Rattus norvegicus: one gene and its partners. The protein of the gene in region 4 interacts with the protein of the main gene of each other region in a biochemical or structural test. Links are inferred from orthologs where the notes say so. Each region holds a gene or a part of one and is shown on either strand. Other genes may lie near its edges. The genes, in order: Pdzrn3, Pdzrn4, Magi3, Rps6ka1, Erbin, Arhgef11 and Dlg4.

Evidence for each region.
Region 1: the proteins of Rps6ka1 (region 4) and Pdzrn3 interact in a test that uses a peptide from one of them, tested with the Homo sapiens proteins (2 studies listed by BioGRID and IntAct, with this or other methods). The link is inferred for Rattus norvegicus from reciprocal best matches to the Homo sapiens genes RPS6KA1 and PDZRN3.
Region 2: the proteins of Rps6ka1 (region 4) and Pdzrn4 interact in a test that uses a peptide from one of them, tested with the Homo sapiens proteins (2 studies listed by BioGRID and IntAct, with this or other methods). The link is inferred for Rattus norvegicus from reciprocal best matches to the Homo sapiens genes RPS6KA1 and PDZRN4.
Region 3: the proteins of Rps6ka1 (region 4) and Magi3 interact in a test that uses a peptide from one of them, tested with the Homo sapiens proteins (2 studies listed by BioGRID and IntAct). The link is inferred for Rattus norvegicus from reciprocal best matches to the Homo sapiens genes RPS6KA1 and MAGI3.
Region 5: the proteins of Rps6ka1 (region 4) and Erbin interact in a test that uses a peptide from one of them, tested with the Homo sapiens proteins (2 studies listed by BioGRID and IntAct). The link is inferred for Rattus norvegicus from reciprocal best matches to the Homo sapiens genes RPS6KA1 and ERBIN.
Region 6: the proteins of Rps6ka1 (region 4) and Arhgef11 interact in a test that uses a peptide from one of them, tested with the Homo sapiens proteins (2 studies listed by BioGRID and IntAct). The link is inferred for Rattus norvegicus from reciprocal best matches to the Homo sapiens genes RPS6KA1 and ARHGEF11.
Region 7: the proteins of Rps6ka1 (region 4) and Dlg4 interact in a test that uses a peptide from one of them, tested with the Homo sapiens proteins (2 studies listed by BioGRID and IntAct). The link is inferred for Rattus norvegicus from reciprocal best matches to the Homo sapiens genes RPS6KA1 and DLG4.

Annotation. Positions count from the first base shown.
Region 1 is NC_086022.1:135,329,796-135,333,624, reverse strand, and holds part of Pdzrn3 (E3 ubiquitin-protein ligase PDZRN3), read left to right. Parts: intron 1-646; coding exon 647-709; intron 710-2,220; coding exon 2,221-2,322; intron 2,323-3,204; coding exon 3,205-3,321; intron 3,322-3,829. UniProt on the Homo sapiens protein: E3 ubiquitin-protein ligase. Plays an important role in regulating the surface level of MUSK on myotubes. Mediates the ubiquitination of MUSK, promoting its endocytosis and lysosomal degradation. Might contribute to terminal myogenic differentiation.
Region 2 is NC_086025.1:125,842,147-125,845,628, reverse strand, and holds the end of Pdzrn4 (PDZ domain-containing RING finger protein 4), read right to left. Parts: intron 2,980-3,482; coding exon 1,462-2,979; 3' UTR 664-1,461; downstream 1-663.
Region 3 is NC_086020.1:194,401,960-194,406,625, forward strand, and holds the start of Magi3 (membrane-associated guanylate kinase, WW and PDZ domain-containing protein 3), read right to left. Parts: upstream 3,189-4,666; 5' UTR 3,062-3,188; coding exon 2,740-3,061; intron 1-2,739.
Region 4 is NC_086023.1:151,377,732-151,381,704, forward strand, and holds part of Rps6ka1 (ribosomal protein S6 kinase alpha-1), read right to left. Parts: intron 3,487-3,973; coding exon 3,449-3,486; intron 2,984-3,448; coding exon 2,841-2,983; intron 2,471-2,840; coding exon 2,400-2,470; intron 2,141-2,399; coding exon 2,052-2,140; intron 1,114-2,051; coding exon 1,049-1,113; intron 811-1,048; coding exon 708-810; intron 1-707. UniProt on the Homo sapiens protein: Serine/threonine-protein kinase that acts downstream of ERK (MAPK1/ERK2 and MAPK3/ERK1) signaling and mediates mitogenic and stress-induced activation of the transcription factors CREB1, ETV1/ER81 and NR4A1/NUR77, regulates translation through RPS6 and EIF4B phosphorylation, and mediates cellular proliferation, survival, and differentiation by modulating mTOR signaling and repressing pro-apoptotic function of BAD and DAPK1.
Region 5 is NC_086020.1:36,678,512-36,682,484, forward strand, and holds part of Erbin (Erbb2 interacting protein), read right to left. Parts: intron 2,832-3,973; coding exon 2,648-2,831; intron 1-2,647. UniProt on the Homo sapiens protein: Acts as an adapter for the receptor ERBB2, in epithelia. By binding the unphosphorylated 'Tyr-1248' of receptor ERBB2, it may contribute to stabilize this unphosphorylated state.
Region 6 is NC_086020.1:175,469,404-175,473,376, reverse strand, and holds part of Arhgef11 (rho guanine nucleotide exchange factor 11), read right to left. Parts: intron 2,046-3,973; coding exon 2,022-2,045; intron 1,007-2,021; coding exon 862-1,006; intron 601-861; coding exon 501-600; intron 1-500. UniProt on the Homo sapiens protein: May play a role in the regulation of RhoA GTPase by guanine nucleotide-binding alpha-12 (GNA12) and alpha-13 (GNA13). Acts as guanine nucleotide exchange factor (GEF) for RhoA GTPase and may act as GTPase-activating protein (GAP) for GNA12 and GNA13.
Region 7 is NC_086028.1:55,256,698-55,260,670, reverse strand, and holds part of Dlg4 (disks large homolog 4), read right to left. Parts: intron 1,109-3,973; coding exon 813-1,108; intron 642-812; coding exon 539-641; intron 389-538; coding exon 274-388; intron 1-273. UniProt on the Homo sapiens protein: Postsynaptic scaffolding protein that plays a critical role in synaptogenesis and synaptic plasticity by providing a platform for the postsynaptic clustering of crucial synaptic proteins.

The DNA of each region.
Region 1 (3,829 bases), on a different chromosome or scaffold from region 4:
TAGCGATCTTTCTAGAAGAAGCGGAGTAGAGAAATTGACTTCGCTATGAATACTTTCTTATGCATGCGCCATCCTTCCTTGTGATTGCAGAAAACCAATTTCCCAAAGAAATCAAATCTGTCTCTATGGGCTGAGCCAAGAACCTTATCTGCTAAATACTGCACAGTCAACTCATTGGCTAAGCACCACCTACCAAGCTTTGCGTGTCACATCAGCATGTTTTAGGGCACCCCTGTTATCCTTAGTCCCACTTGTCCCAGTTATACACCTCACTTTTAAAGCTGTCTTCTCAAATTTGATAACAAGATTTGATATGAAAACCATCAAGGTGGGGCTGCCAGGCAGCCACACATACGGGTGCCCTCTCACCTAATCCGTGTCACTGACTTGCTTCTAGTTACCCCATGTCCAGCAAGAGTCGCCTTTGCTCTGAGCCCAGCCCTCTGCCACAGTGCTGCCAAGCAGAGTTCTGGGAGTCCCAGGGAGGGGCTTAAAACAGATAGTTCATTTCTCCCTGTGCACAGTGCTAAGCCCTGTTTGCAAATCAGTTCAATACAGAAAGGCAAGGTCATGTATGATGATATGGTAGAGACAGCCTTTGGAAAGTGGCTGTGTTCGTGCTGAGGCTGTCTACCATGTGTTTCAGATTGACCCTAACAGCATTGCGGCCAAGGATGGACGGATCCGTGAAGGAGACCGCATCATCCAGGTAGGTACACTTCCCACTGGGGGGCATCTTCAGCAAAGAAAGGTGTTCCAGAAATAGTTCCCAGGTTGGAAAAGCAGGAGAAGTTTAAGGACAGGAACCAGGAATTCAGCCAAGTAGTGAGACCAACCATGTTAGATTAGTGAGTGAGACTAATTAGTTACACACAGAGGGGGAAGTGAAGACAGACCAAGCTCTCCCAGATTTTGGACCAAATACCTCTGAGAAGTCTGAAATTTCATAATTCCACAGTTACCTGCCCTATGGACTCTGTTATAAGGGTAACATCTTTACCTTGAAACCTGTTGTTCCATGTAAACAAAATAAGTGCTTACTTCTTTCTTCTAGCTATAATCATTTTGGGGGAGAGGTGGGGGGAGGTGTTCATGGATTCAGGTTGGTGCCAAACTCATTATGTAAAGGTGAACCTGAACTTCCAATCCTCCTGTCTCCACCTCTTGCACACCTGGCCTGATACGGTGATGTGGATGGAAGCCAGGACTTCCTTTGTGCTAAGCAAGCCTCCTATCACTTGATGCCCGTCAGCTCTATGGCTTTTTGTAGGGCCTCAGAGCCTTGGCTTCATTCTGTCCCTTGGCTTCTCTTTCTACCTCTTCTCAGTTTCATCTTCATCTTTCTAATCTACCAGTTTGTTTTCCCCATTTCATAAGCCACCACGTCTAGATTTGGTTTCCTACCAGACTACATTGTGTTTCTCTAGCCTTTAGCGAGAGCCTTGACAGCTGAGCTTCCTTAGGAAAGAGACCCAAGACACCTGAGGGCCACAATCCTCGGCAAACTGTGTGTTGCTACAGTTTTCTGAAACCGGTACCACTGAAAACAGGAGCTGAAAGGACTAAACATGCCACCAGAGTCCCGCCTGGGTTGCAGACATACCCTTCCCTGTATCCACTGTGTAATCAGGTTGGATAATGACAACCAGCAGTGTCTCTGGCTTTGCCACCTCTTGGTTCTTTGACATAAAGTGGCAAAGTCGAGTGAAGGGCTCAATTTCCAAGTCAGCAAGCAGGACTGCTGTGGTGTCCCTAGAGGAATGTCAGCCCAGGAACAAAAATTTACAGAACTCAAAGTTGCTGAGACAGGCAGACAGATGTCCTGCCAGAGGGTTGTCAGTGTGAAGGTGAGAGCCGTTCCCACTTGACTCGCCATCTAGCCTGCTAAACTAGGCACACGTAGCCCATGTATACACAGCCGGTCCCATCTCTGCTACCCACTCCTCAAGGTCCATTCCCAGAAGGCACCCTGCTGCTTTTCTCTCCCATTGTAAACAGGAAGTGTCTTTTATATTTCCCATTAGTCTCCTGACCAAACACAATGTCAGATTCCAGGTCTCGGATGTGGCCCGAGCAGCAGGGGTTTTCTAGATCATATCCTGGAATCCATGTTATGAGTGTGAGTGGTGGCACTGCAGTTCTGAAGCAAGAAGGGAAGCTTCTGCTCCATGCAGCCATATCCCTTGCTACCTACACCTACCCTACCTCTTATGCTTTCAGATTAATGGCATAGAAGTTCAGAACCGTGAAGAGGCCGTGGCTCTTCTAACCAGTGAAGAAAATAAGAACTTTTCACTGTTGATCGCAAGGCCTGAGCTCCAGGTAAGTCAATGTCCCACAGATTAAGTAGGTTAGATTTTTATAATCAAACCCAAGTCCCTAACCCTGCAGAACAATGTCAGAGTATTGCATCTGTGCTTAAAGGTGCATGCCACCTTGAACTTGAACTTGCTGTGGCTTGGGATCCATTCAAAGGATTAACCAACCTGACAGGTCCTACCCACGGCAGATTGACTAATAAAAGAACCATAGCAGGATTTACGGATGCCCCTTCCAGCCTGGACCTAAGTCCCACTTATTAGGACATTGAAGGGAAATGAACATGAGTGGAATTGAGTGGTTCAAATAGTAACTAACTGCTTTAACCACTGAATCTGGATACAATGTAGCAAAGCAGGGGTGGGAGGAGTAGCATTAGAAGCTTCCGTAGCATTAGAAGCTTCCCCAGTGTGGTGTAGGGCTGGAGTTCCTTCAGTGTGAGGATGAGGTCCTTTCCAAGACAACGGACTAACTGCTTTGGATGACTCCTAGAGAGAGCCCCACAATTCCTCTTTCTGAGGTAATGTCCTTTCTTAAAAGAAAGTTCCTTGCTATGGCAAAATACCACTCCAAACAACTTCAGGGAGGAAGGGTTTATTCTGACTCAGTTTGAGGGTTCAGTCTAGCATGGCAGGAAGGCTAAGCAGGCTATGAAGCCACTATCTGCATGGTGTTCAGTCATGAAGCAGAGAAATGAATCCAGTGCTCAACTTGGTTTCTCCTGTTTAATGACCGCTACCCAAGTCAAGAGGCGCTCCTCCCTCTTCAGCTAAACCTTTCCAGAAACACTCACATAGAGTGTTTACCATAGATGTGTAACTATGGTGATTCTAAGTTCAAGTTGATAATGAAGACCCTCACGTGTGTATCAACTGTTTCTCCTAGCTGGATGAGGGCTGGATGGATGATGACAGGAATGACTTTCTGGATGATTTGCACATGGATATGCTCGAGGAACAGCATCACCAGGCCATGCAGTTCACAGCCAGTGTGCTGCAGCAGGTAAACCCTGGGGCAACTCCACGCCACCCCAACCAAGGAGAACGTGCACCTTCAAAGATGCTGAAGACCATCAGAAACCTCCTGCCTAAGCTTTTCTGTTTGAGCCTGAGGGCAATACAAGCAGATGGGTTCCCTCAGCAAGCTCTTCCCTGGAGATGGCTACATAGTTAACAGTGAATTCCAAACTCAAAGCAATCAATCTCCCTAGTGTATACCACCTCTAAGGTTATAAAGCTCTTATGGCTTAAAAAAAAACAAAAAGCTGAGACAATGTTGCTGCTCTGTTGATGTTTACTAGGAAAATACAATGAAGTCAAGCCTTTGAAAGTAAAGCAATTCTGTGATTAGTCTGAGCTGCTCACAGCCCTCGAGCTCCCTCCTACGCCACCACCTACGCCACCACCAGAGTCCCAACTACCCATTTACTGAGTCTCTTAGGAGTACTTGAACATCCTCCCTATTTACGAGTTCCTTTACTATTTTGTTATTCTCTTTCCAATTTAAAGAT
Region 2 (3,482 bases), on a different chromosome or scaffold from region 4:
TAGTGCTGGGGCCTGAGACTGACTAGAGAGCTAATAGGCAGCCACTGTAGGTTTTCATGCAGTACACTAGCTCCAAAATAGGTACATGTTCTCATGACAGTCTGTTGGGTTAAATGTCATTTTATATATACCATTAACAGTGTCTTCTCTTGTGTAGGCATCATGGTCGGCACATGATATGGTTAAATGTTCAAGCAATGAAAAGCTAGATTAATAAAAATCTGCCTAGCCAGTTAACAATAGACCCTTTAATAAAGACATATAGGGCATTTAATTGAATATGCTGAGAATTACTGCAAAGATGGATGGCTTCCCAAAACGTACCTTCAGACCATCAATTTAATAAACCTGCCGTGTTGTAGACTGGATTGTGTCCTACCAAAATTGAATGACTTAGCAGTCTCCAGATCTGTGAGTGGTAAGTCCCCATTGCTGAAGCCTATCAGAGCATGTGAGTTGTGGAGGTGAAGCAGATGTGTCAACAGGAGACCCTTCCTTAATATTCTTTCTCTACTCTTCCTGAATCTCACCTGGGAAAGGCAGGCTAGAGGCTCATGAAGCCTAATTTAGCATCACTGAAATACAGCGTCTATTCTCGAATTCGTTCCCGGTAGGAATATGTGATTTGGAATAGGTGACACGATGACCTATAAGTAGTGTTTCCAAAACAACTTTATTGAAAGAGAAAAGGTGATAGAAAAGCTGCACAGTTTGTAATTCACAATCAAGAGTCTTCTAATCGTATACATACAACCAAACATGTCAACCACCGTGGGCAAAGAAAATAACAGTCCTTGGTTAACTTTTCTTAGGATAATCAATAATTTATTATTTTTTTATTGTCACAAATTACCACAATTATCTAGCTACATGACCAGTGTCACTACATATCACGGGAAGATTGTCCACCCACACTTTACTGAGACAAAGACGATTGCCATTTATGTGTTTAAATGTACAGAAGGATGTTGAAAGAGGTGCTACTTCATGTATAAGACAAGATACGGCATGTAGTTTATTAGCAGATCTGATTTAGCATACACTATGCCAGGAGGTAAGCATAGACATGTTTTGGCATTGAATTATTAAAATAGGAAATAAGAAAATTAGAGAAATAAATCCAGACTTTTTTAAAACTTACAATAGATACATTAAAATAGGAAATTAATTAGGTCCTTAGTATTTTTGTTCATCTTTTTTTCTTTCCTTTTGTTTTTTCATCGTTTTATTTTTTTTCTATAAATGTGTGCTATGAATATATCACAAGTTAAGGAAAGATATTAGCCAAAGAAGGTACCAGCATATGAAAAACAAATTAAAAAGTACCAGGTATTTTTGCTTACAAAAAATTTAAACTGTAAAGTCACAAAATATATATAAAAATGCCACATTGAACGAGGCAATGATACTCTACCGAAACTGGTAGCATGCTCTCTAAGCCAGTTGTCCCCATGTGTCTGGTCATACGGTGGTCACTGACAGAAAGGCATTGTGGACCCTTGTGCCATCCGGGGATTTGGCCCCATGGGTCATCAGTTCTTGGATTGTCATCCAGTTATCCAAAATTTTCTTGTTTCTTTTCTTCATCATCTTCTTGTGGCTCAGTTCAATGATGCTCAGCTCCTTCTTGCCCTCGCCGCTGCTCTGTGGGCTCTCCTTGAGGCTCTCCAGCCGACTCCGCATCATGAACTCCCGGCGCCGCCTTTGCTCCTTGGCCCGGACCAGGTGTTGCTTTCTCTCCTCCTTGCTCCAGTAGCGCCCCATTTTCATCTCACTCATGGTGTCGTCATCTGTGGTCATGCCGCTCCGCTCCTCCTTGATCTTTAAGGCACGTTCCTTCAGAAGTCGGTCTCGCACTGGCCTCTTGGTTATGTACCGGGTCCCATCACTTCTAATTTTTACCTTCCATTCCATCTTGGGCTCTGAGCCCCTCGGCGATTCCTTGCACATGCTCACCAGGCTGAGCTGACTCTGGGCATACTCTACGGCAGATTTCTGTTGAATTAGCTGCATGTAGCTTTGATAGTGCCGGGCATGCGCCGGAATGTTGGCATATCTGTAGGAGGAGCTGTGGTAAGGAGAGAGGTATGGAGTATGCTCACTGACTGTGTGCTCCTGATCCAGAAGCTGGCTGTTTTCTAGACTCTTCTCCAGGCTTTCGACGCTGCAACCTTCATGGGTGGTTTTGACTTTGGTAGCGGTGTATTCCCTGGTGCTCGGTCTGGAAGGGGACTGATGGGCTGTCATCATGCTCCTCAGATTTTTCTTATTGGTGAGGTTGATCATTCTTGGAAGGGAACTGTCCGGGGACCTGTCTACAGTCAGTGGGGTGCTTCTGCAGCTCTCAGCTGTATTGTATGCACTTGAGCTGTCCTTGTCTGACTTTTCCGGATGCTCTATGATGTCGTCCAGTTTCCCTCTTTGCATATCTAGGCTGGTGTTGTAATTTCGGAATCCTCCATCATGCAATGCCCAGATGTCTCCGTATTGGTCCGTCACTTTCTGGAGCCTGTGGGCCTGCATGATATTCTGACACTCCAGCTCAATGTTTCGTAGCTCCTCATTTAACAGCTTCAGTTCATGCTCCACCCCGTCCTGCTCCCCTTGATTGCATTCGAGCGTACTGCTTGAGTAGTACAGGTCATAATCTCCATGGTTTCGGATCTTAAGCTCCAATAGCTGCTGGAATCCTTCACACACCTCCTGGTTGCTGGCACAGTCGGAGTCCAAACACTCACCCCCAGCGCAGCTCTGGTTGCACTGAAGCTCAATGCTTCCTAGGGTGTCTTGGCTCTGCCCCAGCTCTCTCTTGCTCTTCAGTGCTGTGCTGTGGGGCTCCTCGACCACATTCTCCTGCTCTGAGCTCTCATCATTTCGCAAGCTCTCATCTGTGCGCCCCACGCCACTGTCCTTCTCCTGGTTGTTGGACGAGGATGTGGCCGTGTCTGTTGTGCCTTCTTCTTCCTCCTGCTTTTTTGGCTGAGGAAACAGAACACAAGAGATTATTTTGAAAAGCACTGGCTGCTGTAAACTTGCTTGAAAAACAATGTTTCCTGGCTAGGGTGCAGCTCCTAGAACCAGCTGTACCTGCAGTTTGCATACCAATTTTAGAAATTGAGACAATTAGCTCATGGCAGTCTTGTGAGTAGCAAAATAGAGGAACTAAGTTTCATTATATCTGTAACACTCACTGGGTATCAATGAGAGGGAGGACCTGGACATGAAGGACCACTGTGTTCAGCTTTTCTCTTTGGGAAGCCAAGGTGAAGGATATATACAAAGTGACCACTTCTCAGGTAAAAACACACAGAAGTGTAGTAGAGACAAAATATCTACAAGTTCTTCAGCAGTTTGGAGGTTTAAAGCTTAACTAACCATTGCTGCTTCTTAACTTTCTTTATATGAAGTAGAACAAGGTGGAGATGACCATCTATACAATACTGATGTATTATTGATCGATTTAGTGATCTACAGAAAGCACT
Region 3 (4,666 bases), on a different chromosome or scaffold from region 4:
GTCCCCGAGCCTCTCCAGAGAGAAGAAAAGGCCAGAGTCAAGAAGTAGTGCTACAGCAACTCATTCCTCTGACACAAACTGACAGAAGACAGTATAAGACCATTCCTCATTAACAGACATCCTACAGACACAGCTACATTTTACTCTTTAGCTTCTAAATGACTCTCAAGAATACAGTTTAACAAAGAGTTACTGGTCAGGAGTGTAAATCTACTATATAATGTTTGAAATTAAAAATTTCACAAAGTTTAGAAATAATGGGAGTGGGGGCAGGGAAAGTTTCTTTCTAGACCACCTTACACTGTGTTTTCATGATTTTCTAAATGAATCCCAACTATATAGACTCCAAGATTCTCTGGAGATATACTTGTGCAATTTTTAAGCTAATTCCAAAGTTCTACAAATCACATCTTCAGGTTCTTCATTTCTAGTGTTTAAAGCTTATGTTCAACCTACAAAACCCTTGGTATTTCATTATAAATAATGCTTTAAGTAAAGCCATTTAGGAAAGCCATAAAATATACTACCTAACAAATATTTTCATTACAATTTGCTTAAAACAGTTTTAAATTTCAGATGGCACAAAATAGTGGTACCCACTACAAATTATAGATGTTGACCATATTTTACAAAGCAAGCACAACATTCAGAACTGTTTCTAATAAATTGGAGTGCAGCACTGACACCAGTTATTCCCCTTATTTTCACTAAATATTTAAAGCAGGACAGCGTCTTTGGATGACAAGGAGGCAAAATTTTATTAATACAAAAATGCTGACTATATTCTGGGGCATGGAAGATTTCGTCAATACTCTTAACTAATACTACTGTATAACCCTTTAAACCCTGAAGCATTTTCTCCAATTTCATGTGAAAGGTATGTAACATGTAAAACAGATTGGTATTTATTAAGGAGCCATCCCTCTGGTCTTTTAAATGAGCCACAGTGATTTGGAATAGAACAACTTCCTCCACAACTTTATGACTTTATTCTCTCAGAAATGCCCCCACTGATCAAAACAAAAGAGCCATGATGCACATGTTCTCCTTATTTCTGGCTCATGGGACCTCATCTAAGTCAAAGGTTCTCAACTCCCTAATGCTGTGGACCCTTTAATACAGTTCCTCGTGTTGCAGTGACCCCCCCCCCAACATAAAATTATTTCATTGCTACTTCATTACTGTAATTTTGCTACTGCAATGAATCGTAATGTAAATATCTGATATGCAAGATAGCTGATACACAACGCCCAAAGGGGTCGAGACCCACAGATTGAGAACCAATGGCCTAACCATACCTAGGATAATAAATGTCTGTATAGTGTTTTGAATGTTATAAACAGTAACCAACACGCCAAATTATAGCCCCCAAAGTCTTCCCTCCATCCTTTCAAATACGGTTAGAAGTTAAGTGTTAAAACTCTTACAATTCTCACAAACATAGAGAAAGGATGTTTACAGTTTGACAAAGTTCTAAAGATTAACAATAAGAAAAACCCACAAACATACAAATCTTAACAGTATCACAGAATAGGTTATATGACAAGTGCCTTCATTTAAGCTAGTAAGATTATGTTACATACCCACAACACATGGATACTGCATCAAACCATCAGTCGCAATTAGCTCAAGGACTACTAAAGAGACAGTCCTAAAGTGAACTGAAGACAAGAAGAGGGAGGGGGGGAGAGGGGGATGAGAAAGAGAGGGGGGAGGCAGAGAGAATATTAAAATTTCTCTAGAATTTTCTAGCATTTTGTAATGAAAGGGAAGACCAAAATCTAGCCCAGGTCACAATTTGGCAGCCCCATATGCTTAGATGTACCCTATCTATGTTCAGCAGAAACAATTTGATTTCTAGTAACAATGATGAATCACAATGCCTGTGTCTACAACCATCTCAGAAGCCAGAACCACATCCTTCCAATACCGAACGGACCAACAATGTTCTCACTTACAAATTCGTAAGAAAACTTACTACATACTACCAGCCCAGACTGTGCGCAGTCTGATCAATGCTTTCCAACTAGGGAATATGCCATAAGCGTAACGTGCTTTGCAGCACATTTTACGAGCATCAAAGACACCAGGGCACCAAAGGTTCTTTTTTTACCCAGCGCTTCAACAAATTCTGTAGATTCGAAAGCTTTACAAAGGCATTTGCTCGGCTGGGTACCTAGATCTTCCTTCCAAACCCAGACTACACAACAGTTCCACTGCCTCATACCGCACATTGTACCTCATTGGTACTCAGACACCTGAGCCACCTAGACCCAAAGAGTGGGACTGTCAGCTCCCAGACGTCTGCGGTCGTGCACGACGCACTGGGCCAGCTGAGCCCTCCCTGAAGCTTTCGTTGGTAACCTCAGCACTCGATCCAGCGCTGAGTCTCCATAGGAAAGCCTTTTCTCCCCGTTATAAGACACATACGTTCCAAAGAAAAGATACCATCATAGGACCTTTTCCACAAAGGGGGAGCAAAAAAGGGATGGCCTTCTCTAGGAAAAAAAAAAAATAGAAACTCTTGTCTGCCGTGGGAGACTGAGCTGGATTAGGAGAGCCAGCTAACTCCTAGTAGCAATTCCCTGACAGCCTACACAGCTAGCTGTCGGTTCACCGGAGCTCAGTTTTACCTGCCGCAAAATGGGAAACCCCGGCGCCGCCCCCTCCCCCCTCCTCCCCGGGGAGTCGGGACCAGGACTCGGGTCCCCAAGCCGGATCCCCCAGCCGACAGCACACCTGGCTTCACGGTCTTCAGACGGATTGGCTCGCGGAAGTGGCGGATGACAGCCAGGGTGTCCCGGTTGGTGAGCCCACTGACGGGCGTCCCGTTCACCTCCAACAGCACATCGCCAGGACTGGGCGCCTTGCCCGAGACCACGCAGCAGGTGCCTCCGCCGCCGCCAGGCTCGTCACGGAGCCGCCCCAGGTAAGGGAACTCGCCGCGCTCCGCGCCGCCGCGGATCTCAGCGCCCAAGTCGCCCGGGGGCCCGGCCCAGGACACCGCACACTCCTGCACCTTGCTGAGCCAATGCTTCTTCTTCTTCAACGTCTTCGACATCCCGACCTCCGCTGCACCATGGGGAGCCCCCGCGCGGGCGGCCGCGGTGCCGCTCCGGGCCCCGCGCACAGCCCGGCCAGAGGGGCGCCGCCGCCGACCTCCCGCCTCAGCCCGCTAGCCGCGCGCCGCCGCGAGCCGCCCCTCTCGCGGGCCGCCGAGGAGAGCCGGAGGGAGCGCGCGCCCCGCGGGCGGCGCCGACGGGGTCTCCGGGCGGGGTCAGCGCCGACGGCCGGGTCTCGGCGCCCGCGCGGCGGGAAAGGCTGAGGCAAGGGGGCGGGAGCTGAGGGAGCAGCTGGAACCGAGGCTCCGTCCGGGACGCGCGCACCGAGCTTAGTCGCCCGCTCGAGCGCGGCTGCTGCGGAGCCGGAGCGCCGAGACCAACGCCTGCCCCAGCTGCCAGGAAACTGGCGCTTTCAAACCCGCCGCAACCTCCTCCCCGCTCGGCCCCTCCCCCTCCCTCGCCGGCCCGGCCCCGCCCCCTCCCGCAGCGCAGCGCCCGGCGCGTTGCCGTCACCAGCCCTTCTCTGAAGGACTCGCCCAGCTCTGGACTCCGCGCCGTGGATTGGGTTCCGGCAGGCTGGGGGCGGGCCTTGACGGACATTCTGATTTCTGATTGGGTGGTCTGGGTAGAGGAGGCGGGCACTAGAATGACTGAAGTTTAGAGAGGGAGGAAAAAAGAAGTTTAGACTGTGAGGGAGGGAGAAAGGGGAGGGAAGAGAGAGGGTTGGTCTGGGAGCGGGCACAGGTCGCCTAGCGGGGAGAGGCCCTCCGCCCAGGGGCTGGAGCCAAGGGAAACGCAGAAAGGACCCAGGTCCCCATGGTGGGGCGTGCCCAGCTGGGCAGTGGGCGGGGCCTCGGATCTGGAGCCGGATGGCGATCCAGGGAGTGCTTTGCCTGGATCCTGGGCGTCCAGTGTCCAGCTACCTCGAGCGGTGGAGCTACTAAATGGGCCTGTTGTAGCTGAAACGGATTCGACGGGTTTGGGTTTGTTAATTGGTTCAACGAATGTTCTTGAATGAAGTGAGGAATTCGGAGTCCGGTTGAGGGTAAATATATAGTTCTGTGCTTGAATGCTGTGTGTTCTCGGGCAAGTTAGACAGCCTGTCTGAAACAAGCTGAGAATGAAGATCATTAGTTACACAAGCTACTAAACTCAAGAATGAAGAAAAGGTGATCCTGCTCTCGAGGAGATTCGTTTAAGGAAATAGGGAAGGAGATGGATTTAAAAATAACCTAGTGCCTGCAGATCTAAGTCCTGACACTGTTGGCTTGTCCTTGGCCAGCTCTCTGCTTCATGATTGTTTGTCTGTAAAGAGGTTGGAAGAAGAAGTGACTGAGAACAAAGGAGACCTCAGATCTCTCCCAGCTCTAATTTTTCAGAAACACTTAAGCTTTTTCCTCTCTTTATTGAACGTATGCTTTCTCGTCTTTGGAATGCCCTCTATTCCTAAAATTTTTTACCTCATCCAAATAACAGTCCAGTATTTCTAGGAAAGGGTTTTCTCTGAGCTGAGGCATATTGTCTCACTTTTGTGACAGGGCATTCTGACTCCCTTTAATGATAGCACTCATTTTAAACTCCAAGGAACTCTGCAGACTAGACCA
Region 4 (3,973 bases):
ACAGAGCAGGGACCTGGTATGGACTTAACCGGTAAATAAGGAGAAGACAGACAGCTCACAAGTGCTGAGCTTCCAGTTATCAACGGTGTGCAAGCTACAGAGAGAACAATGACCCCCTCAGAAGACACCTCAGAACCAACAAACACCTCCCCACCCACTGGCAGTATCTGGCTGGACGTCAGGATTCCCAAGCTCCCTCCTAGAAGCTACCCTCACGGATGACCTGCAGCAACAGGGGAACAAGTAAGTGGGTCTGTGACTCCCTGAAAATTCCTCACAAGCAACCAGGCCTAGCATCAGAAGCCAAGTCTGCACACATCCAACCTGGGGGCACATCCCCTCTGTTCTGCCAGACTCTGTCAGGGGTTTGCCAGGTCAAATTCCTCGTGTCTGATGCATGTGGAGGCCTGATGTGTTTAGTCATCCCAATGGGCTGAAGGGTGCCCGGGGCAGGGGTCCTGTCGTTCCTGTTGTGGTCTAAGCCACCCCCACACCTCAGTCCCTCACCTAGAAACAAAGAAGCCCACAGAACCCCAGGGAGGTAGCTGGGTAGTGTCAGAATGGAGCCTGAATCCCACGGAGCCAGATACTGCCTATCCACCCACACATCTGGGCTTCCAGAGTCCTTGATCACCGCTGGACCCCAGGGTTCCCCTCCAGAGACGTGCTACCCAGCCCGAGGCAGACAAACCAGGTCAGGAACATACCCCTGGGTGTGCGTGACGTGAACTCGGTATCAAAGTAGAAGGTGTCATCCGGCTGGGCCACAGCGGGCTTGAAAGGTGGCTTGATCTCACGGCGGTAGAGCTTCTGCAAAGGTGGGGTGTGTGCTCTGATCACCATGGTGACCCCTCAGCCTGCTAGCAGCCCCGGCTGGAAGAGTAGAAGCTACTCTACCCAGAAGATAACAGCCAGGGAGAGCAACCTTCAAGGGCATGAAGGGCTGTTCATCTTCTATCTCCTACATCTGAGGCCACGGCTGGCAGGGGCCCCTCCCCCACCCTTCCTGTGTCCATCACAGAACCAGGGAGTGGACAGACTCACTCACATTCCAGTCAATGGTAGAGTAGAAGATATGTCTCTTAATTTCCTCAGCCCCATCGGGGCCTGAGCCTGTAAGAAGCCAAAGGAAGGTCCAGCCTCAGACACCCCGACTGTCCCCCAAGCTCTGGACCAGCTGCTACAGTAGGGGGCATCTTGGGCTCACCCTGCCTTGTGTCAATACCCATCACCCCGAAGCCTGGAGCCCACTCAGTGTTTTCTATATTACGAAGCCTCTTCTGGTTTATTAAAGGAGGAGGAGCCAGGCAGGACGGACGGCTTGATCATGCATCAGTCATGACAGAAGCTGGACTTCTTTTGAGATCTAATAAGGACCTTCATCTACTCCTCCTGCCACAGGCCCTCTCTCCACCCTTCTTCTTCTACCACTGCCTTTATTCCCGAGACAAACACTCATTCAATTCGTCCCAGGGACCCGGACTGGACCTTAGCTGGTTGTGATCCAGATAAAGCCCTCATCTGAAAAACTCAGCGAGCACTGTGTACTCCAGTGCAAAGGAGGCATGTCCTTCTCTGACTCAAAGAACCCTGGGAGCCAGGTCAGGATCACTGTCTTCACAGACACAAGGAACCCTGGGGGCGTCACCTGCCTTAGCGCAGGCTCGTAAACAGTATTTGGTCTCTCGACAGACATTTACAGTAACTTCCGGGTGCCAGGCAGTGGGAATAGACACAGGCAGGACTGAGAGACTCGTGTCAGTCCTAAGCTCATATGCCTTCCCTTGAGCCAGCAACCTTGGCAGAGAGGCTGTGTGGGGGCCTCTGTCCTTGTCCCTGAGTGGGTATGGATGACTCAGTTCCTGCCTTCCCCCCACACAGGTCACCCTCCCAACACCATACATGGAACCAGAAAACAGGGTAGCCAGCAGCATTGTCTGCACACAAAGGACAACAGCTCCTTTCAGCCCCAGATGTGGCCCTGTGGCCTAGGCTGCAGCTGTACCCTGCTCCCCACTGCCATGTCCCCTCCCCGAGCTGGGGTTGCTTACCAAGCCGGTTGGCAGGATTCCTCTTGAACAGGGCCCGCAGGAGGCTCTGGGCTTCCGTGCTCAGAAACTGGGGCATGCCTAGCTTTGCCCTGGAATAGCCACAGGTCTCATCAGGGCTGAGCCCCACCCTGGGAGACCCAGAACCCCTTCCCTTTGTTCCAGGTCTCTTTCCCAGCTCAGTCCAGAGAAGCCAGCCATTAATTCACCTCCCAAAGACTTTAAGGATACCCTTCCACTGGCCCAGGTAGACAGCAAGGGTCTATTGGCAGGGAAATGCAATTCTCTGGCCCTGAAGCTTGGGTAAGATTAGGAAGAACTTGCTAGGGCCAGGGTAGCATTGATGCTTACTTCAAAATCAAGGTCATGGTCTCCTTCCGGTCCTTCCCCTGGAAGGGCAGGGAGCCCGTCAGCATCTCAAACTGCAGAGAAAAGGAACCATATAGGTGCGGTCTTGTTCTCTGTCTCCCGCATTCCCCTCCCCCTCCTTCCCAGGCTACCCCGCTGTGGTTCCAGGATTCTTGCTGGCCTGTTAGACTTCAGAGTCTAGCTGCAGCAGGGCCTGTGCCTGCCTCTGCCCCCATCCCAACCTAGATTCCAGGAGCAACACTAAAGCCTGAAGTGGAGGAGAGTCCCCCAAGTTAGGGGAAGGGTGGTACTTCAGTCAGATGGATTGAAGCCCACGATTCTTCCAAGGAAAGGAAGTGCAATGGCGTGCAGTTGTGAGACAAGGGGAGGGTAAACTGACTTTTCTCGACTTGGGGAAACTGAGTCCAGAGCCTAGACACTCACCATCAACACCCCATAGGACCACCAATCTGCACTGTGGGTGTGGCCCTGGCGGTTGACAACCTCGGGGGCCATGTACTCCACCGTCCCGCAGAAGGAATAGGCCTTCTTTTCGTGGTCAATGGCCTCCTTGCTCAGGCCAAAGTCTGCAGCATGGAGGGCAGAGAAGTCGTCGTTAGGATCCCTGCCAAGTCACTGCTACCACTCTTAGCTCCTCTGACCAGAGCCAGGCATCGCCTCTGTGATGCCAGGAGAAAGCTGAAGCCCACATGGATTTGTCCAAGGCTGTAATTGGGAGCTATGAGAGACGGCCCGGCAGTTAAATCACCGGCTGTTCTTCCCGACAACCCAGGTTCGATTCCCAGCTCCCACAGGATGGCTAACAGTTGTAGGCGACTCCAGCTTTGTGGGCAACACGTGCAGGAGGCACAGAGGCCTAGGCAGGCAGAACCCCATACACAAAAGATAAGTAACGGGGGCCTGTGCTTTTGGCTGCTTCTTGCAGGAAGCACAGTGAACTAGCTGAGTTCACTGCGGCCATCAGCTGAGACCCATCAGACGGAGCCTGTCCATCCTTCCCAGGAGCCCAAAGGAGCTGGTGCCTCACTCACCAGTGAGTTTGATGTGGCCCTCCTCATCCAAAAGGATACTGTAACAGAGAGACATGAGTCAGAAATCCTTAGCCCCAGGCACTGTGTAGGTTCTAGTGGTACCATGGGATGGAGAGAGATGGAGCTTGCCCAGAAGGAGGGCTTGGCCCAGCTCTACTCCATGGAAGAGTAGAAGGATGGAGCTCAGGAAAGTAACTCCTTGTAGTCACAAGGTTTGAATGGCTCTGGGTCTTTTTCTCCTTTCAGGGACAGGGTCTACTGCATTGTACAGGCTGGCTTCGAACTCCTGGACTCAGCCTCTTTAGCAGCTGGTACCACAGCGGAGAACCATAACGCCTGACTTAGCATGTGTCTGACTCTACCAACAGGATCTATCCCAGCTCTCCAGACAGCACTGGAAGGCAGTTCATTGGCCAACCCCAGAATGAACAGATCAAGAAATGATCTTTAGGGGCTGGGGATTTAGCTCAGTGGTAGAGCGCTTACCTAGGAAGCGCAAGGCCCTGGGTTCGGTCCCCAGCTCCG
Region 5 (3,973 bases), on a different chromosome or scaffold from region 4:
TACTGGTTACTCTTTACAGTGGTCTATAGTGAAAAACATCAGGTAGAACAAAAGAAATGAAAAAGTACAGTGTGAAGAGACCGGGAACACTGGGAAACAATATTATAGCGATGAACATGCTAGAAAGAGGAAGTGTTTTAGAGATATCACCATTAAGGACAGTGCCCTGCTCTGCACTGGAACAATGAGAAAAGTGCCCTCAGGCCAAGACCCCACTCAGCTGACTTCCAACTTAAGAAAGAGCCTAAAGGATTTCTGTTCCTAGAGAGCAACTGCTTAAACACATAAAAGACACTACTAAGGTAGGGTGAGGATCAAGGGTCCGTCCTATGTGGTCAGTTTAACTTGCTAGTGTCATCTACGGTGGGAAAGACGGAAGGGTGAGGTGGTCATGGCAGTGGCCATAAAACCTCCTGTACAGTTTCAGAGAGCCCTGAAGACAGGCAAAGTCTGGCAAAGCTGGAGATGCTGTGAAAGGAAAGTACACGAAACATTAAAAGAAAAGCTTGGGGGTTGGGGATTTAGCTCAGTGGTAGAGCGCTTGCCTAGGAAGCGCAAGGCCCTGGGTTCGGTCCCCAGCTCCGAAAAAAAAGAACCAAAAAAAAAAAAAAAAGAGAAAAGCCTGGCTTACAGCAGAAAACCCAAACTGCTAGATACCGGAGTCATGAGACATCTGCTAAGAGCTGATCACATCAGAGGAAGCAGCCCCAGAGAGATGCATGCACAGGACTCAAAGCCGGATGGGCGGAGCCACCTAAGCATCTGGCATGGAGATTGAGGATTTGGAGCGTTCTCTGCTGGGTTTTGGTTCAGTGTTCTCTCACTATGTCTTCATTCTTCCCTTTTAGAATGGAAATGTATATTCCATACCATAATGTCCTGGAAGTATCCTTCTTTAAATTTTATGGGTTGGGAGGTCACAGTTAAGAGACTGTAGTGAGTTTGAGAAGATACTGCTGACTTTTGAGTAGTGTTAAGACTGTTGAGTACTTTTAACACTGATTTAGAAGCATTTTACATTTTGATATGGCCATGATCCATAGGGAACATAGCACTACAGAAGAAAGTCATCACTAGGAGGGGCTTGTGAATTTTAGCCTCACCCCACTTCCAGTTTGCCCTCCTGCTTTCTACATGCGGCTGGAGGTGTGTAGTGTGATTTAGTTTGTGTGCAGAGCCCTTTAAGTGATCCTACTATGCCCTTCAATGTTGGCTGCCTCTTGGAATTCTGGGAACAAGAAAGGCTATAACAAAGCCAGCAGAGGCTGAGAGTATTTGGATTGAGCAGGTTCCAGGTAGCAGAAGAGCAGGGTCCGTGTCTAGGGTTAGAGAAGACAGTTGGTGACAGTTAAGACGGGGGAAACTGAGCCAGAGAAAATATTGTTAAGAGACAGGAGAAGAATTCACACAAAATAGCTAAAAGAGAAAGAAAAGCAAAGCTACAGAGGTGTCGTCTCTCAGCTTCCTGCTGTCATGTCCCCTTCACCATTATGCACCATCCCTCTACAATTATAAGCCAAAAAAGCTGTATTTCTCCCATAAGTTGTTTTTGGCTATGGTGTGTTATCACTGCAACGAGAAATAACATGGTTTCTAAGAATAAAAATAGCTCTTTTAATCTGAAATTCCTCCAATCAGCTGTTTATATGTTTTGACACCTAAAAATATTTTTGTTCATTTCAACAACAAAAAATGGTTTTAAAACAACTTTATAATCACTGTAGACCCTGAGCCACATTACAAGAGCTGTCAAAGCTATGATGGCTACTTCTCTCCCCAGCCTGTGGCACCTTCACTGTAAAATACTACCACAGGAACTACCGAAATGGTGGCTTCTGTCAAAACAGGGGCACTTCCTCAGCTTGCTGCTGGCATGAGGTACCACCACAAGAGCTGTTCACCTCCTCTCCAGCCTCCCCAAGCAGCTCAATAATGGCACCTCAGCCAAAGCCGACTACAGTCTTCCAATCTAAACCCATTGGCCTGATTCAGAGAAAGGTGTGGAGGGAAAAAAGCCACCACTCCCTGAGTTGGAGTACCCACCAATCTCTGAGCTTCTTACAAAACCCCACCACTCCCTGAGCTGGAAAACCCACCAATTCCTGAGCTCTCCAAGTCAGGGCTTAAAATCCTCACCTCACCAATCCTCACTCTAAAAATCTGCCCTGAAAAGCACCGCCCCCTATATAAACTCTGTTCTTTGTTCAATTCCTTGCTGTCCACTCTTGGGAACAGAAGCAGCCAACACTGGATTCATTACTCCATACCCTAAACCCTCCTGATGAATCTCTTTTATGCAAGATGTTGCCTGGTATGACTCTCATCAGAAAAGCCAGGAAGCAATGAAGAAAAGAAGGGAAGAAGTGAAGAGAAGGAGGAGGGCTGGGAGCTGCAGTGGCTCTGCTGAGGAGGTTTTCTCTCAGAGCTTCGTGGATCCTGGGCCCCCATGTTTCAGGACGCCATTCCATCTAAGTAGGGACACTAACAACCTCTACTCAATTACTTCTAAAATGGAGTAAAGAAATTTATTGTATAAGTCACTTAAATATTTGTGAAACCATTTATGTTTAGCCCTATTTTTTCTCTTATTTGTATTATTATTTCTATTTATTGTATAAGTAAATGCACTGTTCAAATGTTCACAAACCTGATTTTGGAGTTACTATCGATAGGAATTTGTTTCGCTGGAGAACAGAGTGCGGTGTCTTGACTGCTGTCAGTATTAAGAGACACTGAATCAGACATCCGAGATGGGGAAGAACAATTGCTGTTATTTTGATTACTATTGTGTGTGACTTCATCTGATAAAGAATCTGTATCCTTTGCATCATCTGAAACAAAGTAAACGTGTTTAAGCACAATGATAAATTCACCAAGAATTTATGGAAACCTTTTTACCGATTCTATGTCTGAGGGGATAAGTTAAGTAGGTATTAAGTCCTCTGTGTCTCTCCACCTCAAACACCTGCTCATAAAGTGGTAATCTCTCAATGAGTGAGGTGCCTGTTTAGAACAATGAGAAGCAATCGGTTTATATTCACTAAAGTGGAAGTTTAAAAGGAATTTGAAAATAGTTGTAAACAAGCTCTTTATGAAGACCTCAATACTAGCCAATTCAAGGATCTATTACACCCAGACATACCCACATATGGATTAAAGATATGTTTTTTGTTTTTAGAAACAGTGCTCAAATGGTTTAGAAACCCCAATCTCAAGGTACTTAAGTCTTGGTTTCTTAATTTATAAAAAGTACCGTGAGACAGCCTTTGAAGTACTTTTCATGGAGCTAGGATGACACCCAACTGTTCGGCAGCCTAGTAACAACTGCCTGGTACCTAAACAACAGTGAAAGGACTCAGGAGCTTCTAAGTATCAGTATACACCCCGCTAACCAAGTGCCAGCTTGGTGATGTCACTAGCTTTACGGGAGCAATGGTCTGGACAAGCATTTGACAGAGATAACGCAGAGCTAACCAGGCACTACTTGTAAGAGCGGTGTGATGAGATGGGCGTTCTTTACAACTTTATTTCTAAGTCTAATATTTTGTTACATGAAAATTGGTTGGCAAAAACTGGGGAAAAGAGCTTAATATCTACCATTGCAGAATAGATAAGAATAAAATAATGTGCACATAGAAAGAGGTACTATGCTATGTATTATATGCAAAATCCTTCATTAGCCTCACTACAACTCAAATATGTCATCTATTAATGGATAGAATGAAGCACACAAGGAAGGATAAGTATCTAGAAAACACTCAATAGAGATGGAGTTATAACCTAGAATTCCATCCTTCTAATGCTCATGTCCTTACAAAAAAACTCTGCGCGGGAGTAGGAAGGGACTACCAATCTCTTTAAAAATGGGAAATATGGAGAATATTTTGGAAAGGCAGTTTTAAATTTTGTTTTTAAAATGTTTCAATAATGTGACTCCCACATTTATTTATTCACTCCCAATAAAATTTACTCC
Region 6 (3,973 bases), on a different chromosome or scaffold from region 4:
TAGACGCGGAAGTCCCTTCCCCCACCCAAGTGTCACCAAGGTCTATGAAGGCGACTCCCACTGAAGCTCAGGGCTACCATCGTGTCATGGAGCTTGTCCCTATCCCTGCCAGTTCTACTTAACGGTCATTTAAAACCCTCAGCAAGGATCCAAACACAAAACCACAGGAGTGTGCATAAATTCCAGGGATGAAGATGAAACGAAGACCACAGGGCAGTCTTTCCAAGCCATAAGTTCTTCCACAGAACTACTCAGTAGCTACAGCTGTTTCTGAAGTTCCAGGCTAACACCCCTTGGCTCTGAAAAATTAGCCTTCCCTCAATGAAATTGGCTAGATGTGGCAGGGGGAGAGAGCAGCAGTTCTAAGAGCAAGCTACAGTCTCCAGAGTTCAGGCCTTGGCTCCCAGAAACACAGGAGGCCCCTCTACTTCCTGGGAAGGTGAAGGGGCTCAATTCTCTACCAAAGAATGGCCAAGGCTTTTGTTTTCTAAAATACTCACTGCTCTGAGAGGAGCTCTTGGGCTTCCCAATATATCTGAGGATGGGGTTTCGCTTCTTGTCCTCCAAGGCATCCTTTTCTTTCTTGGAATTGCTGCTCTGCTGAGATAGGAGACATTAGTTTGGAGGTGGTTCCAACACTCAGACACGAGACTGCTAATCACCCTTGCCCTGTCCTAAGACTGGCCCTACACAAATCATTGGAGAGCTGACTCAGGTTTTTATTCTAATGAACATGTTTCACCTGTGGTCAGGTTTGGAGAAAAGAGGGGGATATAGCTGGAAGGCTGTGAAATGGCTTCCTGGTCTGCCTCAGCACAGAGCCCTGCTCCAGGACAGCTGTGCTGTGGGCAGTTCTGTTACCTTCTTGGTCTTAGGGAAGAAGGGCAGCCACTTGTCCTTGTCAGGGGCAGACTGGGTCTTTTCTGCCGTGCAGGAGGATCGAGACTCCCGAAGACGGATCCCAGCGTGGCTCATAAAGGTATTAACAGCAAAGTCCATGGGGGCACTGTAAAACAGGAGCATTGTGAACCAGAAAGCTCAAGTCATGTTTCGTAACAGAAGGCTGAGGGAGCAAAACCCTGAGGACAGTCTCCGTTATAGGCATCCCACGGAGAAGAAAAGGGGTGGTTATGAGCTAAAATATTCAAAGTGATGAATGGATGATCAAATGCAACTGCAGTCAGGAGCTGGCCAAAGCTCTCCATTGCTCCCACAGAAATCTAGACAGTGTTCTCTCCCCATGAAGGGATGATGGTCAGTGGATGGAACACAAAGTCCTGAAACACAAGGCCTGGAGGATGGGCTAAGTCAACATCCTCAGACACACATACGAGGGTTTAAAGTAGGCCTACAGCTTTCACCTTCCCCCATCTCTGAGAACAAGGAGAAAAAGAGAGCAAAGGCTATCGAGGTGTTTCTGGTTGCCACAAATGAAACTATCCAGAGCTGTGTGCTTAAACTATATTTGGCCTGAAATCCAGTAGACACACTATCTGCTTCTACTTTGGCTTCATGGCCCGTCTCTTCCCTTACAAAGCATGTACAGGCAGGGAATGCAGACCCTTTTAAGCTGATAAGAAATAATAAGGTCAATTTGTAGAAATTACATTAAAAAAATCACCAAGAAAGGAGGTGTTTTCTTTCTGCTGTCACAGACTGATTCTAACACTACCATTCTTAGGGAGATGAAATCTTTCCACAGGGAAAGAGGTCAGGAGGGAAACTCAGGGGTACTGTGGGTAGATACATGGCGGGCCTGAGAAGTCAGGAGGTGAGGGCTAGTCTGTCAACACCAAGGAGTAGAGCCATCTACCAGGCAGTGGTCCCTAGGCATCAAGGATCTGGACTTCCGAAGTCCCACATGTTATGGTCAGTCATCTGGGAGCTACACTTGCACAGACTCAAGTTCTATAGTGTTACAGCTTTCTTACAGGTAGCAGAAATGAGAAACACAGAAGAGCTCGGCCCTACTTCTTCCCACCTTGACTGCTGAAAATGTACCACACCATGGATTTGCTCACCTCCGATCTTCCTCATATTTGGACCTGTAATGAAAGAACAGATGACTTGGACCTGAGGCAAAGGCTGGAAGAAGAGGGGGGATAGTAGGGGATACGAGGTCAGATTCAAAACGTTCTGGAGTCTTGTAGCCCAGGAGGTGAGAAGTTTTTATTTCCTCAAAGATTCAACTAGCACAATGATGATCGTGACAATAATGTTTTTCTAGCACAACAGTACATGTGGCAAATTTAGTCTCTGTTCTCTGTTTCAAAGCATGAAGTTATCAGGAGAAAAAAATAAAACCTGGAGCCTGACCAAAGAAATTTCTTGTAAAGAGGCAAAGGTAGCAGCAACTAATGTTTGGGTCTTACCATGGGCCAGACATTTTCATAAGCTGTTTACACAATAAGCCCACTGAATTTTCAAAATACCCAGAAGAAGGCTCCCATCTTGTAAGTACAAACTATCATTACTTGAAAATTATTGTAAGTTGGGTTCATAGACTCTCCGAACAGGCTCAGTCAGGTATGAACTCCATCCCAGAACCAGTTAATGGCACCTTACTACTGAGGGTCAGGAGGCCGCCGCTGTAAAGACCACGCTTTCTGTGCGGCCTCCTTTCAGGTCCAGATGTCCTAGTCTTTTCTCCTTATTATTAATTAGTACTGCAGATTAAACCCAGGGTCTTATACATGTTAGGCATGCACTCGGATATCCTCTGCCTTTATCATTTTTTAATCCTGGTCCTACTGAGTTTGGTTTTGAACTCAGTAGCCCAAGGAAGTCTTGACTTGTGCCTCAGCCTCAAGGTGGCTGAGTCTGTAGGTCTCTTCCACTAGGCTCAGCTATTTTTAACTTTTTAGTGAAATGGAACCTAGGGCCTCCTGCTTGCTAGGCAACTGCTTCACTACTGAGATGTAACCCAAGCCCCCCCCAAGCCCAGATCTGTCACCAAATGACAGATTCATACATGTAGCTGTCTATTCACATCTGTAGTTTAATATCCCAAAGAGACCTTAAACTTAACATGTCCAAAAGTGTTGCCCATGTTACCCACTTCACCTAGAGTGACTGACAGTCTTTTTAGTGGCTTATATAAGGAACTCTAGTGATCTCTTCTTTGACTTTGACACTCAAGTTTTAAGAATTCTCTTCAGGATTCTATTGCTCAACTCCACTAGGAGCTGACCTCTATTCACAACTTCCATGGCTATTGTTTTACCATCATTGGTGGGGATTCCTATGGAGGAACCTTCTAAGTGAACTTCTTGGCTGTCCCATCTCTTGCAACTCCAACAGCTCCTTGCTTGCTAAGTGAAGAGCAAACTCCTCTTCATATTGTATTGTCTCTCCCATGACCAGGCTCTCGCTTCCTCTGCACTCCGCTCTTCTGCGCTGCTCCCTGCTCATTACTGTTCTTTAAATGCTGAGCACATTCTTCTTGGCTTCTGTCTGCCCTGGCTGTTCTGTCTGCAGTGTCATTTCCAGATGTCACGTTTAATTCAGTCAATGTCTTCACTGATTAAGTACTATTTTTTCCAGGTAGCTCACCTGGACTGGCCTATTTAAATCTGCAACCCACTGACTGTGGCACTTCTGACCGTCCCCATCCTGTCTACCCTCCTCCAGTGCTTGTTATACCAGTCTACTTAATTCCTGTCTATTGCTGTCTCTTCTCATCACTGCAAATACCCACAAAGGATATAACCACTTGTTCACTAGATGCCTTCTACAGTGGAGACATATTTTATGTTTGTTAAACTGAAAGACTCATGATATTGACACTACCAAAGACACCCAGGCTAACTTCTGTCATCTAGTTTGTGAGATCCAGAGAGGCAGAACAGATTAATAAGGTCACTACTCAGTAAGAGGAAATACTGGGAAGAAAAACTGTCTAGGCTTAGAAGTTCAGTCATCAACCCTGCCCTGGGATTCAAATCATGGACAACATATGCTTTAGAAAATGGGA
Region 7 (3,973 bases), on a different chromosome or scaffold from region 4:
GCGTCAATACTGGCCTTAGGTCCTAGCAGGAGAGCCATCAGGAAAGTGCTTGTGTGACCAGAGACTAGGAGGCAATTCAGACACTTGGGGCAGGGGCTATTCCAGAAGACCAGTGTGTGCAGCCAAGTCTATGAACCCTTGACTAAGTGTCACGTCTGGGTGGGACAGTAGAAGGGCAGGATTTAGAGGAGGAGCTGTTTGGGGGTTGGACACAAGTTCAGGGGGAGAAGAATACACGGAAGCCTCTAGAGTCAGGCCCAGGAAGTTTCTTACCTAATGTAGAAGCCCCTCTTGGGGTTGCTTCGCAAGGATGCAGTCCCTGAGCCTAGGCTACTATTCATGAGCTGTTCCCGAAGATCATGGATCTTGGCCTCGAATCGACTATACTCTGAGAAAGGACAAGAAGTTTCTGGAACTCTGTCCCATCCTAATGCCACACCCCATCAACCCTCGCTCCACCCCTACTGAGACCATCCATCAGCTAAAGAGACAATGCTGAGGTCCACCTTAACCAAGACAGAAAACTTAGGCGTGGTACCTTCTGGTTTATACTGAGCGATGATCGTGACCGTCTGACCCGCATTCTTCAGGGCAATGGCAGCCTGTTCGTGACTGGCATTGCGGAGGTCAACACCATTGACCTAGAAAGGGGAGAAGATGCTATCACCTGGGATGGGAAGACAGTCATTCTTAGGAGTGAGTGGGTCAGGGAGTGGTCCAGCTGGACCAGGCTTGAGCCCATCCAGTCCCTCCCCAAGAGCAGAGAACTCCCTTTGGGGGGCAGTGCAGACCCTTGCACAGGCCTCTCTCACCGACAGGATCTGGTCCCCCTTCCGTAGCTCCCCACTGAGGTCGGCTGGACCCCCAGCAAGGATGAAGGAGATGAAGATGCCTTCACCATCCTCGCCGCCCACAATGTTGAAGCCCAGGCCGGTGGAGCCCCGATGGATCACGATCCGCCTTGGTTCCCGGGGAATGTCTTCCTCCCCCAGCAGGTCCTTGGCCACAGGGGAGTAGCGCCGAGGGGAAGTGGGGGTCATGGCTGTGGGGTAGTCAGTGCCCAAGTAGCTGCTATGACTGATCTCATTGTCCAGGTGCTGAGAATACGCTGAGGGCAGACAGGGCATGAGATGAAGATGTTGTGACCGTGGCACCCACCCATCTGTCCCCTCCAGAGGGAGCCCAGAGCCAGGTTCAGTCAAAGAGGAATTATTCTGCCAAAAAGGTATGTGGGTGACCCGCAGCAGGGGTCAGAAGTTTACAGATGACATCAAAGGGCAAGGGTTGGGAGGTCATATGTCTTTAGTATGCCAGGAATGGGGCCAACAGGAGGATATTGGCATCATGCTTTTGACTGCCTTTTGGTTAAAGTGTCTCTCAGGTCTCTCAATGCCCCTCCCTCTGCCCAGTCATTAGGGTTTTTTGTTGTTTTGTTGGGTGATTGTTTTTTTTTAAAACTGGGTCATTTGTCTAAAGTATTTCCCACATTCTATGAGCGATAATAGTCACTTGTTTCCCTGTGGTCTTGCTTAGCCTGTGCCCCATCTCTGCTCCCTTTTTGTTTCCCTGGGCTTGTCCCAGAGGCTTAGTAGGCTCAAATTCAATATGAAACGTTCACCCAGCAAGGGGCGAACTGTGCCTGCCACAGGACGCAGTGACGTCTGCTGGGTGTGGTACCCACACTTTAGATCCACTGGGACAGTAGAACCCCAAGTTTCAGGCCAGCCGGGGCTATGTAGTAAGACCTTGTCTCAAAAGAAATGGGGAAGTGTGAGCTGACTGCCTGTCTTTCTAGGACTGTCAGGTTCTGGGGTCATCATCTGACCTGCTCGTTACAATACCCTTCTACCAGAGTCCTTATGGGCATTCAGGGTGGTGTCTAAGGTTGGTGTTCACAGGGACTGCAAAGTGTTAATGTTGTACAATCATTAATAAGATTTTTACAAAGGACTCTCCTACCTGCTGAGTGTTGTGTTCGAGCCTACTATCCCACTGAGGAGGACAGGACGGCACTGAAGGCTAGTGCGGGTTACATGGTGACTTTGACGCTATCTTGGGCTATATAATGAGACCCTATCTCAAAACAAAAACGGTAAGAAAACAGACCCACACACGCACCAGAATTGCTGCCTGGCAACCTTGAGCTGACTCTGTGATGAGCGTACACAGTTGTGGGAGCAGATGACTGAGCCTCTCCCTTATTTACATTTCCATGAAGAAATGGCCTGTCTCTAGGTGTTCCAGCATTCTCCAAGGGTAACAAGGGGAAATGCTGCCGTGAAGATGGGACCCCAGGTCTTGCTCAACCTGTACGTCCACCACATGATGGCTCCCCAGCCTGAGTCCATTTGACCAAGTTTGGTTTTGGTTTTACTTTCAAGTCTCCCACTTTCAAGGATCTCACTATGTTGCTTACGCCTTCGCTGAACTTGATCCTCCTACTTCACTTTTGAGTACCTGTGTCCATCGCCATGCGGTACATCTGCTGCCATGCCTGATACCCAATTGTTTTCAAAGGTATTATTCTGGGGGCTGGAGAGATGGCTCAGCGGTTAAGAGCACTGACTGCTCTTCCAGAGGTCTTGAGTTCAATTCCCAGCAACCACATGGTGGCTCACAACCATCTGTAATACCCTATTCTGGTGTGTCTGGTGTACTCATATCCATTAAATAATATTTAAAAAAAATAAAGGTATTATTCTGACCTCATGTGTTTGCATATAAAATAAATTATGTAAGGCCAGAAAAATCCTCTTCAACAAGACTGCTGTGACACTAATAATCCTGGGCCCCTTCCTGGCCCTCTAGTATGACTTACACATTTACGTATTTGTTTCTGGCTTGGTTATTTGGTGGTGGTGATGTGTGTGTGTGTGTGTGTGTGTGTGTGCGCGCGCGCGCGCACAAGCATGGAGGCCAAAGGCTGACTTCAAGGGTCTTCCCAAAATCATTCTCCATCTTAATTTTTATTTGTTTGTTCATTCGTTTGTTTGTTTATATACAGGATTTCACCACCTACCTCCGGTTGTCCTAGAACTCACTATGTAGACCAGGCTATCCCTGAACTCACAGAGCTCCACTGACATTTGCCTCCCCAGTGTTGGGATTAAATGCGTGTATCACAATGCCCAGCTCCACCTTACTTTTTAAGACATGGTCTCTAGCTGGATTTAGAACTCACAGACTAGGCTAACTGGGCAGTAAATTCCAGGAACCCATCTGTCTCTGCACACCCCTCAGAGTCAGGATGGAAGTCATGCATCACAGCACCCAGCTTTCTGTGAGTGTTAGAGAGCAAGACTCTGGTCCCATCTCCCCAGCCCTATTTTAAAACAAACAAACGAAAAAGGGAGGGAGGAAGGAAGGAAGGGAGGGAGGGGCCTCGGGGCTGGAGAGATGGCTCCGTGGTTAAGAGCACTGACTGCTCTTCCAGAGGTCCTCAGTTCAATTCTCACAACCATCTGTAATGAGATCTGATGCCCTCTTCTGGTGTGTCTGAAGACAGCTACAGTGTACTCATAATTAATTAATTTAAAAAGAAACATGGCCTCATATAGCCTAGGCTAGCCTTAAACACACTGTGTAGTCTTGAATTTCTGATCCTTCACCTCCTCCTCCTCCTCCTGATCACCAAGAGCATGTGTATACTTCGTGTATACTGGAAAAGCACTCCACCCACTAAACACATCCCCAGCCATTTTTTGAGGCAGGTTCTATGTAGCCCAGGTTTCCCTTAAAATCTCAATCCCCCTACATTAGCCTCCCAAACCTTGTGATTACCAGTACATTCTACCCCTCCTGCCTCTTGTGCTTCTTGCCAAGACTGGAAACCATCCCTTTCCCCAAGGAACTCAAGTTAATTTTGGTAAGTTCAGAACTAGTACCAGAGGCTGGATGGTGATGGCGCACACCTTTAGTCCTGGAACTATGGAGGCAGAGGCAGGAAGATCTCTGAGTTTGAGGCCAGCCTGGT